Mus musculus: one gene and its partners. The protein of the gene in region 3 interacts with the protein of the main gene of each other region in a pairwise test. Links are inferred from orthologs where the notes say so. Each region holds a gene or a part of one and is shown on either strand. Other genes may lie near its edges.

Region 1 (4,252 bases), on a different chromosome or scaffold from region 3:
GGAACAGGCAGTTATGAGCAGAGTTCAGGGTGCTGGGAACTGAATTATGACCCAGAGGAGCAATGACAGCTCTTATCTACTGAGGCATCTCTACAGCCCCGGGACTTTATTACTGTATTCCTAGCACCAAGAACAGTGCCTGAAACATGAAAAATATACAATAAATATTGGATGAAATAATGGCGTATCAAATGTCTTCAGTAGGATGTGATTATGGTTGTTGTGGTCAACAAAACGTGGTGTAATTTGATGAGATATCTTTCGCTGGATGAAAGTAACTAGCTGGCAGTTTGGAGAATATATGCAAAGGAATAAGTATGGCTCTGGATCTACCCATTCCTGTACCAAGCAACTTTGTTTAGAACTTGGTTTGGAGCAAGTATCAATATATGGCTTAAAGATCATTCTCAAAAACCCAAGGGAAATACTGCATTTTATCATCTGAGGACATAATGAAGGACAAAACTTAGCTACCAGAAGTTAGTTTTTGTTTGTATGAAAAGTGGTAGATAATCTTGAATGGACTAATCAATTTACTTGAGCCAATCCAACGGGGCCATGGAATCTATGGTTTCTGAGATTGGAGATCTCTGCTGAGTCTATGCACAATGGTTTCAAAAGCAGTTCCCGCCGGTAGAATGACCTTAATAATCACGAGGTTTCTCCCCCAGAATCCAGAAGGGCTTGATGATAAAATAGGTTTTAAAAACAATTCTTTAGCTAGGTGTGGTGGTGATTCCTTTAGTTTTCAGTACCCAGGAAGCAGAGACTCGTAGATCTCTGAGTTTGAGACCAGCCTGCCCTATCTGGTGTGTTTCAGGACAGCTAGGGCTCTGTAGAAAGTCCCTGTTTCAAATAAACAAACAAACAAGCAGAAAAACAAAACAAAACCTCAAAACCAAAAAAGTATTTCATTTATACAAGGCACACTGTCACAGAAGGTTACTCAGACAAGTGTCTCTTAAGGTAGAGTGTTATCTTGCTTTTTGTTGCAACAACAGTTGTTGGTGCCATTGGGACTCACCATTTTGCTTGTGGCATGAAGTTTTTCTCTTGAATTGGTAATAAACCTTGAATAGAAAGTAGGGAGAGTGCAAATTTGTCTGGAAAGTCTAAGAAAGTATATTATGAGATATTTTCTTTGGTAGTGTCATTTTTCTCAGCAAAATTTGGAAACTGTTTGTGAAGCTAATTATTCTTTTCTCCATGAAAGCTTTTTCTTTATTTATTTATTTGCAGGCCCAGACAAACTTGACTAGAAAAGAAGCCCGGACAAGGGTTAGGATGAGCGATGACGTAGCGTACTAGCCAGCCAATTGAAAGAGCACGAGAAGGGGAGGGCGGAAGTGACGAGAGGTATCCCTCCGCGGGGCGAGAGGGTCGGTGGGGGGAGTCGGCGTTTCTCTCCCCCGCGCCAGCTCCCATACACGGAGCCACATTCCTTGGCCCCCCCACCCCCTCCCTCGGGGCCCCCCGCCCCCCTCGGGAAAAAAATCCACCCCAATCACTCGAACCCGAGGGAGGCTTCCTTTCACCCTCGGGGAGAGGAGCTTTCAACGGTTCCCTCTTCCCCGTCTCCCCCCCGAACCCCGGTCCCCTCCCCTGCTCCCACCCCCTACTCCCGGCGCCGGGTGCAAGGTCCCTTTAAGGCGACGGCACCTTCCTCGGGTCAGACTACCGGCGGCGACGACCACGGGAGGTGAGTGAGCGAGCGAACCCCGGCGCTCTCCACCCCCTTTTCCCGGGGGTTCCGTTATCTTTTCGCTGGGCCGAGGCGTTCCGAAACGAGACAATGAGAGGGGGATGGGGCGCGCGCGCGGGTTGGGGGAGGGGCCGAGCGCGCCCCCGCGGCCCCCGAGTGGCGGCCGCCCCACGGCAGCGCGCGCTGTGGNNCGCGCACGTGGTCTGCGGCGCACCCGGGCCACGGAGCCGCGCGCCCCGGCGACGGTGGCCCAGGCCCCGGGATGCCCCACTGCCCCCGCCCCCCTGGCGGTGCCGCGCGCGCTCGCGCCCCCACGGCCGCGCACCGCGGACGTCCACAGGCACGCCGGGCGCGAGCGTCCCGGAGGAGTGGGCGGCGCGGGCGGCGGCGGTCACCGGGGATGGGGGGGAGTTTGCAGAGGCGCGGGCACGCGGGGCCGCAGCTGCGGAGCGGTGGAGCCCGGGGTTCCCGCCGCCCCCACGCGCGGAGGCGTGAGCGCTGGTTTTGAGCGGGAGGAGGGAAGCGAGTGGCTGCCCCGCCGGTCCCCTGTGTTATGTAATCCCGCTCCGTCTGCGAGGACATCCCAAGCCTCTGCAGCTAGTTGAGGAAGTCTCCTCCCTCGGCCCCCAAATTTATGCATGGATGGCGCTGTGATTTACAAAATGGAATGGGGCAGAATCTATTTTCTGGTGATTATGTCCTGCCGCTGTAGGCGCCATATTTAGCCCAAGGACTATTTTCTTTAGATTTTTCAACACCTTCTGAAAAAGAGTAATGTCATCAAGCCACCTGCTTTCCCTTGTGTCTGCCTATGGTCCTGGTTTCCTCTCCTGAGTTGTGGAATTCTTGCAAAGGGTCAATACCACTGCACATTTCTCACTTATCTTAAGCCTTTAGTAAGAGAGCTGAGAGTCTTTTTGGCCTTTTCGTTCTCTAGGAAGACATGGAGATTGAATTGTAATGTCTTTTCAACAGTGCAGAGATAGCCTTTTCTCCACACCTGTTCACCTCCTTTTGTAGCGCAAAACGCCACAAAGATGAGGTTTTAAAAGCAGTTTCCCCAGATGAAGCGAGAAAGGAGTAAGGCAGCTGTTCCTCTTGGACGGTGACAAGGCAGTTGGACCCCGTCCGTGTTCTGGAAGGAGGAAATTGGGATGACTTCTTTATTGTCGTCATTCTTAACTTTAGGGTGCATTCAAGCATTTTGGAGGCTATTAAACGTGAAGTTTAAGGACTTTGTGCCTAAAAGGTTTTTTTTTTTTTTTTTTGGAGGGTGGGGTGGAGTGGAGGGCTAGTATCATCTTTATCTACACTGGGCAACTAAGATAATCAGTATATTAAAGAGTATTGCTAATGTGGGAAGGTGATCAAAATATAGTGTTAAAACAATTAGATTGTGCCCTCGATTTCTGTCCCCTTCCCTGTATTGTCAGGGTATGTCAAACGGAAATAAAAATAGAAAGGACTTGGAGGAGAACAGGTGGGCTTAAGAGTTGCCACTCCCATCTTGACTAGGTTCTAATCTAGGAAAGCAGTTTACCCATTGTGGTTAGCTGAGCCTGGAGTACACCTCAGCACCATTCAAGGGCGTCTTGAGACCTTAAGAATTATGAGTAAAGCTTTTTGTGTCTCCCATGACTTTTGCAGTGATGATGTGTAAAAGCAAGCCCCTGATTTCGGTGTGCTTACCTGAGAATGGCCTTGATGGAGCAATGGCAGCATGAAACTAGCATGAAATTGTTACGTTTCAGCTTTGGAATATATCTTTAGTTTTTAAGAATCTAATAAAACTGAAAGGCATGAATAAAGCATTTGTATTATCTATGGATGTATTTTTTTTAAGATTTATTTTTTATTTATTATATGTAAGTACACTGTAGCTGTCTTCAAACACTCCAGAAGAGGGAGTCAGATCTCATTACAGATGGTTGTGAGCCACCATGTGTTGCTGGGATTTGAACTCAGGACCTTCGGAAGAGCAGTCAGTGTTCTTAAACGCTGAGCCATCTCTCCAGGCCCATATGGATGTATTTTTAAAGTTTTTCATGCATTTTAATTGTTTCCTTATGACATTTTTGTATGTGTACACAATGTATTTTTATCATAGTAACAGCACATTACTCTCTTGTCACCTTCCCACTCCTGCTGATCCCCTCCCCCAAGTTCTCTCCTACTTGCATATCTTGGCCATGGGTGTGGGGGACCTAGTGAGTTTAATTAGTGTTGCTTACAGGAACAAGGGCAACTTAACATGAAGACACTATCTCTTCTTACCCTGGCAGCCATTAACTGACTATATATTCCTTTCATGTTGGCGTGCTGGCATAGTCTTGAGCAGGTTTATGCAGACAGTCCCAGTTGCTATGAGTTCAAGAGGGCATGCCAGTGTTCCACAGCACTCTCAGGTGTTCTTCAGCTCTTAGCATTCTTTTGCACCTCTCTGTGATGCTCTCTGAACCTAGAGTGGGCCATAGAGATGTTCCATGTAGAACTGAGCATTCTTCTACAGCATCTTAGTTAGCCCTTTGGGCAGTGATGAGTCTCTGCAGA
Region 2 (3,560 bases), on a different chromosome or scaffold from region 3:
TGGTGTCCTGAGAACCGCTGAGCCCGCCTGATGGGGGCATGACCCCAGGCTGATGGAGGACAGATGGCATGGTATGGAGGACAGCACTGGGGAGCACTGAGCACATGGGACACACAACGTGGCATAGGGCCAGGGGAAGGGGCCTTACCTGTGGGGAGCTTCCAGGGGAGAAGCCTTGGTTGGAGACCGGAGAGGTGGGAGACTGGGTGGCAGGTGACCCTGCACTCGTGCGGTACTGCAGAGCTGGTGCCTGTGATGACAGACAGTTCATGCTTTACTGACTCCTGACTGGCCCAACAGACCTGAGCCGGATGCCTGGACCCTCAATAATGGATGCCACACAGGTAGTCACTGGCTTGTGAGAATCTGAGGTGGAGATGTGACTGTAAACCTGGCTTCTCAGGGCAAGCACACACAGAGGACTACAGGGCCCACCTGGAAGCCACAGCAGGGCTCTGGCTGACGCTAGGCCTGACCCTGTGTAAAGCTGATGGCATCAGGCACAGTGCCCTCTGGATGCACCTGCATACCCCTGACAGATCTGGACATCAAGACTGTGATCCACACACTCCTAAAAGCACAGTACATGAACACACATACAATTGGCACTCACCCGCACAACCCTAGTCATAAACAAACCCCCGCTCATGAACACACACCCACTCATGAACACACATACCTCACTCATGAATATGTATACATCATTCATGAATACACATACCCCACTCATGAACACACCCACCCACTCATGAATACACACACACACACACACACACACTGAGGGCCCAGGAACCCCCCTAGGCTTACCGAAGTGGCATCGATCCCCATTGGTGACTGGCCTGGGTTCTCTGTAGGGGACTGGGGAAGAGTGGATGGTACAGTAACTGAGAGTGGTGGCAGCTGGGGCCCCCGAGTCAGGCTGGCACTGGGCAGCAGTGGACCACCCTGGGGGAGGCCCACAGACACCTGTGGAGGTGGTGGCTGCTGCTGGGATACCGGTGGAGGTGGAGGCGGTGGCTGGGGCTGTGGGGGAGGCTGCTGGGAGCCAGTCTGGGTGAAGAAGGCATAGGGCAGCTGCTGCTCCAAGGACAGGGCATCCATAGCCACGGCCTGCAGAAGACAAGGATGAGGAAGAGGCGCTGGCCCATGGTAGCACAGTCTGACCCCCACAGTCTGTTCTCCTAGAGCAAGGGAGCCCAACTTGTTGAGGGTGGATCTCACACAGGAAGTAAACAGGGAGAGACCCTGGGCAGGGGTACCACTGTCATGCAACACTTGGGGGCTGAGGCAGGAAGGTCACTGTAAGTGTGGGGCCAGCCTAAGCTGCAGAATGGGTGTCTGTCACTCCAATGCCTGCTGATGGCTCTTGGGCCACTCCAAGACCATTAGTTTTGCCAGGAGCGGTGACACGGGAGATGGGATCTGAAGAATGATGAGTCCAAGGTCATCTTCATCTACTCAGTGCTACATAAGCCTTGTCTCAAAACCAGAAATATCATAAAATACACATTGCAAAAACACTGATTTGTGTAGTTTCTGTTCAAACTTTTGTTGATAAATGCTACAAACAGAGCTGGAGAGATGGCTCGTTAAGAGCACTGGCTGCTTTTGCAGAGGACCTGGGTTCAGATCCCACACCCACATGGTGGCTCTTAATCACCTCTAACTCCAGTTCCAGGGGACCTGACACCTCTTGTCTCCAAGGGAACCTGCATGCACATGGTGTACATAAATTCACTCAAGAACACACATACACATTAAAAATAAATACATACATAAATAAAACTGGTTTTTTTAAAAAAAAGACCAGGCCGGGGAAGGGGAGGGGCTGGTAGATACCCGTGTTCCCACCCACCTCGCCCTCGCACCTGAGTGATGGGTGACAACGGAGACAGGGTGGGTGACACCTGCTGGGCCTGCTGCCGCCTGGCCTCTGTGCTCAGGGACAGGGGGCTGACGACTGCTGGCCGGTGCTGTGGAGAAGAGCTGGGGGTGTTCATACCTACAAAGGAAAAGGGGGCTAGGGACAGGTGGCCATACCATAGCCCAGCTGCCAGGACAGAAACCCGCTAGAGAAGCTGTCTGTGGTCAAACCTGGGATGGGGCTCTGAGGAGGGACTTTAGTAGTCTAAGAAGGGCATGTCCCATGGCCCCAGCCAATCAACACTGTTTCCAAGTAACCAATCAGAGCCCATCTTGGGATCTTGAACATTATCCTAGGAAGTGCTGCCCACAGTTGGTAGAGAGAGTTCTCAGTGACAGGGCCCTCCCTGGTGGAGCATATGTAGGTATGTCTGCGCGCGCGTGTGCACACACACACACACACACACACACACACAAAACATATATATTATATAGTATGAGAGCATTTTGTCTGAATGTGTGTCTGTGTACTATGTGTGTGCCTAGTGACTGTGGATGAAAAAAGAAGGCACTGTCACCCCTGGAAGTGTGAGTCACCATGTGGCTGCTGGAAACTCCACCTGGGCCCTCTGCAAGAGTAACAACTGCTCCTAATCTCTGAGCCAACTATCCAACCTCCTTTTATTTAATTAATTTGTTTGTTTGTTTCTCTGTGTAGCCCTGGCTTTCCTCAAACTCACTCTGTAGACCAGGCTGGTCTCAAACTCACAGACATCTGCCTGCCTCTGCTTCCCAAGTGCTGGGGTTAAGCAGATGCACCACCATTTTATATTTTTGAGATAGGTTTACGTGTAGCTCGTGCTTGTCTCAAGCTGGCTATGAATCGAGGATGACCTTGAACTCTCGAGTCTCCTGCCTCTGCCCTGAGTCCGAAGGTGACAGGCATGAGGTAGTTTCTGCAGTACTAGGGTTCAAATCCAAAGGCTTTGTGCATGGTAGGCAGCACTCTGCCAACTGAGCTATAAGCATTGTCCCTGATGAGCTTCAAGCTACTGAGCTGTTATTATTACTTCATACAGGGCTAGCCTGGAACTCACTAGGTAGCCCAGGCTGACTCTGGTGTCAGAGCAATTGCCCAGCCTGTTTCTCAGCACAGATCTCAGGACTGTGCCATCATGGCCCATCTCCCTTTCTGTCTTGGCTTGGGAAACTCGATCCTATGGGAGGTTGGGTTTCTATAACACCAGGGCCCTCCCGTGTTGTTCCCCAAGCTTGTTCTTTCCTGTCAAGGCATTTCTTGATGACCTAGTGCCCTTCACCCACATCCTTCTTTGGCACCCTCAGGATGATGAAGCCCCCCTTCCCAGCACCCCCTTCCAAGTCTGCTTGAACTGAAACCAGAATCCTCACCACCCTGCCCTGAAGTAACAAGCCTGCACCCGCCAGGCCCCTTCTCTAATCCCTGCCTGCCCCCAGGGATCTGATCCCCGAATGCTGAGGTGATGAGGGACCTGGGTGAGATCCAGGGCACTGGGCAGAGTGGGGGCCTGCAGCCTCATCCTGGGCCCCAAACCAAGTAGGCAACAGGCTCTCTGATGACAGGGGAGCCCTGAGGGCCCTGCATCTGACACCCCCCTCCCAGTTACTAAGACACTGCTTCCGTATCGCAAGCTATCAGATATTAACAGTGGAGGCCT
Region 3 (4,191 bases):
GGGTTAAAAGGAAAACTGGCAAGTGAAGAGGGGAGAGAGTGTTTGGAAGAGTCAAACAGCATCAAATGCTAGGATGGTCTTGAAAATGCAAGATGCAAAACTACATAGACAGGAAGACTGTGACAATTCAGAGCCACTGCAAATGGAGAGAGACAGTAAAAGACAGGTGGAACTCGGAAAGGAGCTTAAGGAGGAAGTTTCTATATTTTATTTATTGCCCACACATACTACTGTGATGTAAGTGCTGAGGTCAAAGGACAACTTATGGGAGCTGGTTCTCTCCTTCTACCACGTGGGTTCTCGAAATTGACCTTAGATTATCTGGCTTGGTGGCAAGGGCCTTTATTCATCTCACCAATGCCACAAGAGTCTTCTTAAAGAGAGGAAGAGACGTTAGCATGCTAAAAGTTCTGGTTAGAAACAAAAGAAAATTAAGCTACTCTTCAGTATAATGTCCTTGGGAAAGCGGGAACGGCTAGGACACACGGAATGAAGGCAAGCTCAGTGTTATAAAACGTCAACAAGGGCTGGCGTCCAGCAGGAACAAAACTATAGGAAGAGGGCTGAACGGCACAACAACAAAAGGTGAAGAACTGGCGGTTAGGGGCAACTCAGAGAGCAGTTGCGGTAGCTTTGAGGCTACGGAAGTCACACTGTCAAGTTCTGGGGTGCAAACGGTGGAAGCCACGCCGCAGCAGCGTGCCACCGCTGCAGAAAGGGCTGAGAAAAGTCAGCACAGGATGTCGCGGGCAGGTAGGGTGGGGATCTGTTTCAAGTGTTGAGAGCAGCATGGCTGATCATTTCTCCAGCCTCAGAGGGAGGACGGTACCCAGTACCTAGGGGCTCTGGCTGGCCGCAAAGCGGAGCTGAATCCCCACATGCCACCTGTGCCATAGCTTTCTTCCCAGCAAAGAACCAGCTCCGGCCCGGCAGACTCCCCTGGCCGGTAGCCGGCGTCTCCAACCTTCCAGCGCCGTCCGCGCGGCTCTGGGCCCTCGCGGCGCGTCAAAGTTCCCGGGCGGTCTGCTTCCGCCGCAGGATCAGACCGCGCGGGGGTTTCCAGCAAGTCCCCGCCACCCCGGGAATCCCCACACCACCCCAAATCTGGCTACACACAAACCCCGCTTCCTCCAAATCTCCTCAGCTGGCGTCCGAAGCCTCCACCCGCCACAGTGAGGCTCGGATCGTGCCTCCAGAGCGGGTCTCAAACCGCCTACACCAGCTTCCCCGGTCAACCCCTTCGCAGCGCCGGGAAGTAGCCGAAGGCCTTCGGCAGGTTCCGCCAGTAGCGCGGGGGCGGGGCCTGTCGAGCGGCTCCGGGTCGAGCTCGGCTGTTTCCGTGAGTGGCCGCTGCGCACTCGGCACTGGGCGGCGCTGGCTGGCTCCCTGGCTGCGGCTCCTCAGTCGGCGGCGGCTGCTGCTGCCTGTGGCCCGGGCGGCTGGGAGAAGCGGAGTGTTGGTGAGTGACGCGGCGGAGGTGTAGTTTGACGCGGTGTGTTACGTGGGGGAGAGAATAAAACTCCAGCGAGATCCGGGCCGCGAACGAAAGCAGTGACGGAGGAGCTTGTACCACCGGTAAGAGGAGCAGGAGGAGGAGGCAGGAGCCGGAGAGAGCCGGGGGGACAGAGGGGGGCCGGGGAGGCGCCGGACACCCGCGCTCGGGGCCTTCCCCTCGCAGGAGGGGCCGCGGTAAAGATGGAGCCTCCGCCCGAGCCCCACAACACCGCCGCCGCTCGCAGCGAACAAAGAATAATGGCGGCGGACTGGAGCCAGCGGCGGCCGGGCGGCAGCGACTCTGCCTGCAGCCAGCGGCGGCGCTCATGGCGGGGGGCGGCCGGGCCGGGGCGGGGTGCGAGCGAGCGGGCGGCCGGCCGCGGCAAGCTGGCGCCCGCGTTCCCGCCGCCGGGCCGGGCCGGGCCCGGCCGTGCCGGGCGCGGAGCCGGAGCCGGCGCGGAGCGGAGCCGCCCCGGGGGAGGCCGCCCGCCGCCGCCCCCCGTTCCTCGCCGCCGCCGCCCGCCTGCTCGCACGCTCGCTCGCCCCGGCTGTGCCGGGCTGGCCGCCCGGGCCGCCGCCTGGGTGCCCGTGGGGGGTGGAGGAGGAGGAAGAAGAAGGAGACAGTTGAGGGCAGAGGAGGTGAAGGTGCTGCCGCCTTCGCGGCGGTGCCCGCTCGGCGAGCCGCAACGTCCGACCTGCTTTCCTCTACAGCGCTCTTTGTGCAATAAAGTTCGAAACCCAAGGTTTTCTCTGGTGCTGTATTTTATTCTTGCCCCTCTCCCCGGCTCCCACGCGGTCGGAGAAAATGCTGTTTTCTGCCCTAGGCTGTTTTAAGGGTTTGGGGTTTTTTGTTTTTGTTTTGTTTGGTTTGTTTTTGTTTTTTGTTTTTTTTTTACTATTTCCCTCACCCCTCGGCTTTGAAGATGAAGAACGAATCAGTAGTCCTGGGAATGCATTCTTTTGGGAAGGAAAGAGGTGCTAAGAAAACATACATGTAATAACTTTTTGCAGAAACTGTTGGGATCTTGTAAAAGGGAAGCTGGTGCTTGAAAACAGTTTCGGTTTTAACCCTTTCCACTAAGATAATGATCACTTGAGGTCAATCATTCTGAAACCCTTAGAAATTATCGAAGGGGAAATTAGTATTAGCGAAGGTACTTTTCGTTTTCTGTCATTTGAAGGGAGGCAGTCTTGCCAAGGTTTTTTGAGTCATCCGTATCTCCCCTTAGCCTCTGCCATGCTCCTCACACGCTTCTGTCTGAACTTTAATGGAGGATTGATATAATTCTCACTCTAAAAATAGTTATTGAAACTATCCATTATTTGTATATTGCCGTAGGTAATCCCAGCCTGAGGTTGATGGCAGTTTAAGCCAGCAGGGGTTGTGGTGTTCCTTTTTTTCCTTCACCTAGAACATCTGCAAAGGGGACTGTCAAAAGTCATTGACACCTTAAAGATCCAAAGACATTTTTAAAGGGCATTGCAGTATGACCTATTTAAACCTGCCATATCTTCTCAAAGTTAAGAGTTTGATCCTAGCCTCAGTTTTGCACCACATCTGCCTTCAAAAGATCTAGCACAAAATACCTTTGGGCCATCTATTGAAATCTTGTGCCCTGATGATCATTTCCCAATTGAAAAGCAAAGCCCAAAATTTTAGTTGATTTGAAAGGTGCACAGTTTTTTATATATTTGGGGGGGGGGGTTGCTTGTTTCTTTTACAATACAACCAGTTACTGTACCATTGAATTGTGATTGGTCCATACAAGGCTTTTGGTTAGGAATAAATATTGATTGGTAATAGAACCATTGTGTTTGATTTTTTTTCTATGCGTCAGGACTCTGAAACTTGACAAGTTACATTGCTAGTCTTTAGCACTCCAATTTGCAATTGTTAAGAAAATTAAGATGCAATAGAAGGAGTTGTTTCCATAGGGTTGAGAAGATGATTTTGTTTCCACACAGTGAAGACTCTATACATGGTAATGTTGATGATAAAATAGTTTTTTCAAAAGATTTTCTACAAGCCAATAGTGATGATACATGAGGATGATTCTTCCCCTGTGAGAATAAAAAAAAATTCCTATGTGTCCTTTCTTCAGTGTTGACCAAAAGATACTTTAGGTTTTATTTATGGGATCTTTTATGGAGAATCAAATTGATTCTCAGCAATTGCAAGTGAAACTTGGAACACTTTTTGTGTGCATTAATTTTCAAGCATTCACCTGGAACCTGACAATAAATTACAGTTCTCTCTTGCAGAGGTCAGTGAAAGTTCTAGCACGGTGTGCTTCCCTCCTCTTCCTCCTTCCTCTCCTTTAGTTGTTTATTTTTGATGGACCTATGTATTTTAGAAAGCTAATGAATTATTTACAAAAACTTACCTAATGAATACTAAGTGAGCATTCCTTTGGAATTTAAAACTAGTGTTAAACACTTTTGAACAGAATTTCACACAAGGGCCTGAAGAAACAGACCATAATATTCTTTTTTCCTACCCTCAGATACTCATAGGGATTTTAGTTTTCTTAGAGAAGTAGTTTTGTCACTTGTAAAGCCCTTGGGTTTGTTTTTTTAAATCTCATATGCCTTTTTTAAAACAATAGAGAACATTGTTTACTTGTGACAGTGCTTATACGATATAAAATGTTTATTACAAATACGTTAGCAGATACAGCCATATAAACTCACCTGTTA
Region 4 (4,285 bases), on a different chromosome or scaffold from region 3:
GCCAAAATGGCAAGCTTCCAGTTCATTGGGAAGGCTATAAGGAAGTGTGACGGGAAAACACCCAATGTCCTGCTCTGGCCTCTGCATGCGTGGGCACACGTGTCCACACATAAATGCATCAACTGTAGGGGAGCAACAGGCTTGCAAGTGACCAGTTATTTGATAGAGGGTTGTGCTAAGTGGGAATGGCAGTGGGCACAGAGATGTGAATGCATTGTTTTTATATGTATGGTGTATGGGCAATTGTGAGTATAAGAACATGCACCTGTATTCATATGGAAGCTAAAGGAGGACATCAGATGTCTTCCATCACTCTTTGCTTTGTTCCTTTGGGTCAGGGTCTTACTGAACATGAAGTTGGCATTTCTGGAGTAGGTGAGAAAGTCAGCAAACTCCAGTGATGCTCTTGTGTCCACCTTACTCAGGGTTGGGGCTGCACCTGGCTTTTTTGTAGATGCTGGGACTGAACCCAGTCTTTGTGTTTGAACAGCAAGATCTCTTAACTGCTGAGTGATCTCTCTCTAGACCCTTCAAGGGCTTTATGAATGAAAAATAGGTTAAAGAGACAGGATTTGATGATACCACACATTGGATGTAGGCACCAAGGCTGACAGTGCTGGTATGATATTTGATGTCTATGTTCAGGACAACATGGAAGTCTTAGAGTAGGAAATAGTTCTGTTTGGGATATGAATTTGAGGTGTAGAGAGAAGATATGTTCCTGTAATATTGAGTAAGCAAATAGGCACGATCTTGAACTCCAGTATCTGGGGGTGAAATCTGCACAAGGAGCCATCAGAATAAACGTGAAATCTGGAGCTTTGAGAGTGTGTGAGAGCCCTAGGGGAGGATGTGAGAGTCTGAGAAAAGTAAGCTTGAGATTGCCCCATAGACGGAGGGACTGGGGAGATGTGGGTTGATGGTAGAGTGCTGGCCTTGAATACACAGGACCTAGGCTTAATCAACAGTGAAAACAAGACAAAATTGAAAACTGGAAACTGATGCTGCTCCAGTGGATGAGTGACTAAATGGATGGGAAAACCCAGGAGCATCCCGTGTAAAGCAAGAACACAGGTCAAGACTGAATGCAGACTGTGCTTCAACACCGCAGTCCTGTATACACCCTGACATGTTTCTCACGCTGGATTATAGAAGCATGGGTACTCTGGGGACATTGTTCATTAGTTTAACATAGTATATTCTGCATATTATATGCCACATGGCAGATACTCAGTAACATAGAGGAGCCACAGAGGGAACTTACCAGGTTGTGTAAAGTGCCTTTTGTAATGAATGTGTTCCGAACTGCACTTCATTTCAAGCTTTGTGGCCAATGATGAATAAAGGTGTATGGAACTTGGGACCTTGGAAGTTCTGTAACCAAGATATGGAAGTAACAACAGCCAGCCAAGACAAAAAGAATGTTCTTTTCTTTCCCCTTCCAAGTTCTTAGTGAAGGGCCGAGCCCAGCATCCCAGCCTTGTGTGACTTGGTAAACACTGGGACCCTAACTTCACTTCAGTACCCTCCCTTCAGGAGCTCAAGGTGGCTTCTCCGTAGACAGAGGCTTCTAAGTATCAAAGCTCCCCACTGCGCAAGCCCAACATCATGGGGAAGGGAGACACCTCGGAAACAGCATCAGCCACCCCAGCCTATCGCTCTGTCATGGAGGAGTATGGTTATGAGGTGGGCAAGATCATTGGCCATGGCTCCTATGGAACTGTCTATGAGGCATACTACACAAAGCAGAAGGTCATGGTGGCTGTCAAGATCATCTCGAAGAAGAAGGCCTCTGAAGACTATCTCAACAAGTTCCTACCACGTGAGATACAGGTCAGAAAGGGAGCTGAAAGAAGGAACTTAGGCTTATTAATAAGCTACTTGAGGTATCTTAGGGGTATAACTATGAAAGGGTGGCTCCAGAAACCTCCAAACCAGAACTTAGGAAACTTCTGTAACTTATATATATATATATATCCTCTTTCCTATGTGCAAATATTCAGCTCACTATCCAATGTCCCCTCAAGTAAAAATGCAAAATGGGATTTACCCAGACACCAACAGATTCTGTTTCGAAGTAGTAAGTAGCAATGGGAGAGTGGAGAAAGGCCAGCACGGTGGGAGTTTGCCAGGTTTGATGGTTCCCTCTTTTGGAATCAGGTAATGAAAGTCCTACGGCACAAGTACCTCATCAACTTCTATCAGGCCATTGAGACCACATCCCGAGTATACATCATTTTGGAGCTGGCTCAGGGCGGTGATGTCCTCGAATGGATCCAACGATATGGGGCCTGTGCTGAGACCCTTGCTGGCAAGTGGTTCTCCCAGATGGCTTTGGGCATCGCCTACCTGCACAGCAAGGGCATCGTGCACCGGTGAGGATAGTCACCGGACTGGGCTTTGGGAATCTTAAGGGAGTTTTATGCATATTGCCCATTTTCTGTCCTTTTCTCTTGACTTCTCTCAATATCTAGGTCCATTTGTTCACCATATTGTAATCATCTGGTCAAGGACACTTGTATCCACTGTGTGAGAGCACTTTATACACAATGGTGAACTAGTGGTCCTCAGGTACCATCCTCTCTCCCTTTTGGGCTCTGCTCACAACTCCATGGCTTTGCTTCCCATAGACATCTCACTCCCACTTGTCCTGTCCTCATCTCTAGCCTCTGACCCCTTCTTTTCAGCTCCCGGTCTAATACTAAGCCCTCTCCCCAGCCTGACCCCCAGCCTTTCTGCTGCTGGTAGGGATTTAAAGTTGGAGAACCTGTTGCTGGACAAGCGGGAGAATGTGAAGATATCGGACTTTGGCTTCGCCAAGATGGTGCCTTCTAGCCAGCCTGTGCATAGTAGCCCTTCTTACCGCCAAATGAACAGCCTTTCCCACCTCAGCCAGACCTACTGTGGCAGCTTTGCTTACGCCTGCCCGGAGATCTTGCTAGGCTTGCCCTACAACCCTTTCCTGTCTGACACCTGGAGCATGGGCGTCATCCTCTACACTCTAGTGGTTGCACGGCTGCCCTTTGATGACACCAATCTCAAGAAGCTGCTGAGAGAAACCCAGAAGGAGGTCACTTTCCCAGCTAACTTGACCATCTCCCAGGAGTGCAAGGTGCTGGCTCCCCCAGGAGGGCTGAGGCCTTAGGGATGACCCATGGAGAGGGGAAAGGAAATACCAAATTTAGGCCTTCCAACTACATTCTTCCTCCCCCCAGGGTTGGCTTTTGTCATGCCAGAGCTCCTACTCAAAGTGGTGGCAAGGCTTTAAGAGGGTCAACCACTGAGCTTCAAACCTTAAATATGCTTGGTAATTAGGTCCCAGCAATGATCCCTTTAGGGCAAAAGGGATTATGCAAGAGCTCTTCTCTTTTTTTGCAGGGCTCCAGCATAAAACCAGGGCCCCAGCCCCTTTCACCAGAGTAGTGCGATGGGCCATCCTGCTTCTTCCTTAGGTCCAGCTGCTCAGTGCCTGTGCTCACAAAGTGGGGGCAAGCTCAGCCAAGCCCTCTCTCTCCCCTGCCCTAGAACCTGATCCTCCAGCTGCTACGCCAATCTACCAAGCGTGCCACCATCCTAGATGTCCTCAGGGACCCCTGGATGCTCAAGTTCCAGCCTGAGCAACCTTCGAATGAAATCAGGCTGCTCGAGGCCATGTACCAACCCACCAGCTCTGCTAAACGGCACCAGTCCTTGGAAATCACAACCTGAAAGTGGCTGAGGCAGGAGGCCAAGGAAAAAAGCAAGAAAGACTGGGGGGAAATCTTTTCTATAAAATAAACCTAATTAGTTTCACCACGTAGGGTCAAAGGCTTTCTTTCCTTGAGAGTCTTCGTGGAGACCACTGCGTAGGGGTAGATTTCTGCCCAGAGCCTGTAACCAGTACTCTTGACACCTGGGACAGTTAATGAAATTGACTTGGGGAAGCCTTACTGTGCCAACTGAGTTTGTGAGTTTGAGGCTCTTATTTCACATTTTTGTTCTCTAATGTTCTAGTGGCAGATGGGACGGGGGTGGGGTGGGGGATGAAGGTGGAGGGGGGTTAGTTTTGTGTTGACTTGGGCTCTGCCCATTTCCAGTTGAAAGCAATGGCATCATTCCATCTGTTCTGTGTTTGCTCCTAACTTGGGTAAAAGTTTTCACTGGAAAGCAGAGTTAACAAAAGGGAATGGGACGGTCTTGGCTTCTGGGTACCTTTTCTTTTCTCTCCAGTATCACGTTAACCACTACGGAAAGAATGGCAGTGATCCAGGGCTCCTTAAACCACAGCTCCTAGATACCAAAGGAA

Evidence for each region.
Region 1: the proteins of Creb1 (region 3) and Pogz interact in a two-hybrid assay, tested with the Homo sapiens proteins (2 studies listed by BioGRID and IntAct). The link is inferred for Mus musculus from reciprocal best matches to the Homo sapiens genes CREB1 and POGZ.
Region 2: the proteins of Creb1 (region 3) and Crtc1 interact in binary tests that used the Homo sapiens proteins (3 or more experiments, as listed by UniProt). The link is inferred for Mus musculus from reciprocal best matches to the Homo sapiens genes CREB1 and CRTC1.
Region 4: the proteins of Creb1 (region 3) and Tssk4 interact in binary tests that used the Homo sapiens proteins (3 or more experiments, as listed by UniProt). The link is inferred for Mus musculus from reciprocal best matches to the Homo sapiens genes CREB1 and TSSK4.

Annotation. Positions count from the first base shown.
Region 1 is NC_000069.6:94,836,042-94,840,293, forward strand, and holds the start of Pogz (pogo transposable element with ZNF domain), read left to right. Parts: upstream 1-1,395; 5' UTR 1,396-1,699; intron 1,700-4,252. UniProt on the Homo sapiens protein: Plays a role in mitotic cell cycle progression and is involved in kinetochore assembly and mitotic sister chromatid cohesion.
Region 2 is NC_000074.6:70,391,054-70,394,613, forward strand, and holds part of Crtc1 (CREB-regulated transcription coactivator 1), read right to left. Parts: exon of another isoform or gene 2,634-3,560; intron 2,003-2,633; coding exon 1,869-2,002; intron 1,111-1,868; coding exon 808-1,110; intron 251-807; coding exon 149-250; intron 1-148. UniProt on the Homo sapiens protein: Transcriptional coactivator for CREB1 which activates transcription through both consensus and variant cAMP response element (CRE) sites.
Region 3 is NC_000067.6:64,531,446-64,535,636, forward strand, and holds the start of Creb1 (cyclic AMP-responsive element-binding protein 1), read left to right. Parts: upstream 1-1,358; 5' UTR 1,359-1,575; intron 1,576-4,191.
Region 4 is NC_000080.6:55,648,741-55,653,025, forward strand, and holds Tssk4 (testis-specific serine/threonine-protein kinase 4), read left to right. Parts: upstream 1-1,443; 5' UTR 1,444-1,608; coding exon 1,609-1,833; intron 1,834-2,158; exon of another isoform or gene 2,159-2,160; coding exon 2,161-2,375; intron 2,376-2,474; exon of another isoform or gene 2,475-2,611; coding exon of another isoform or gene 2,612-2,718; coding exon 2,719-3,112; intron 3,113-3,378; coding exon of another isoform or gene 3,379-3,423; exon of another isoform or gene 3,424-3,525; coding exon 3,526-3,708; 3' UTR 3,709-3,799; downstream 3,800-4,285. UniProt on the Homo sapiens protein: Serine/threonine kinase which is involved in male germ cell development and in mature sperm function. May be involved in the Cre/Creb signaling pathway. Phosphorylates CREB1 on 'Ser-133' in vitro and can stimulate Cre/Creb pathway in cells.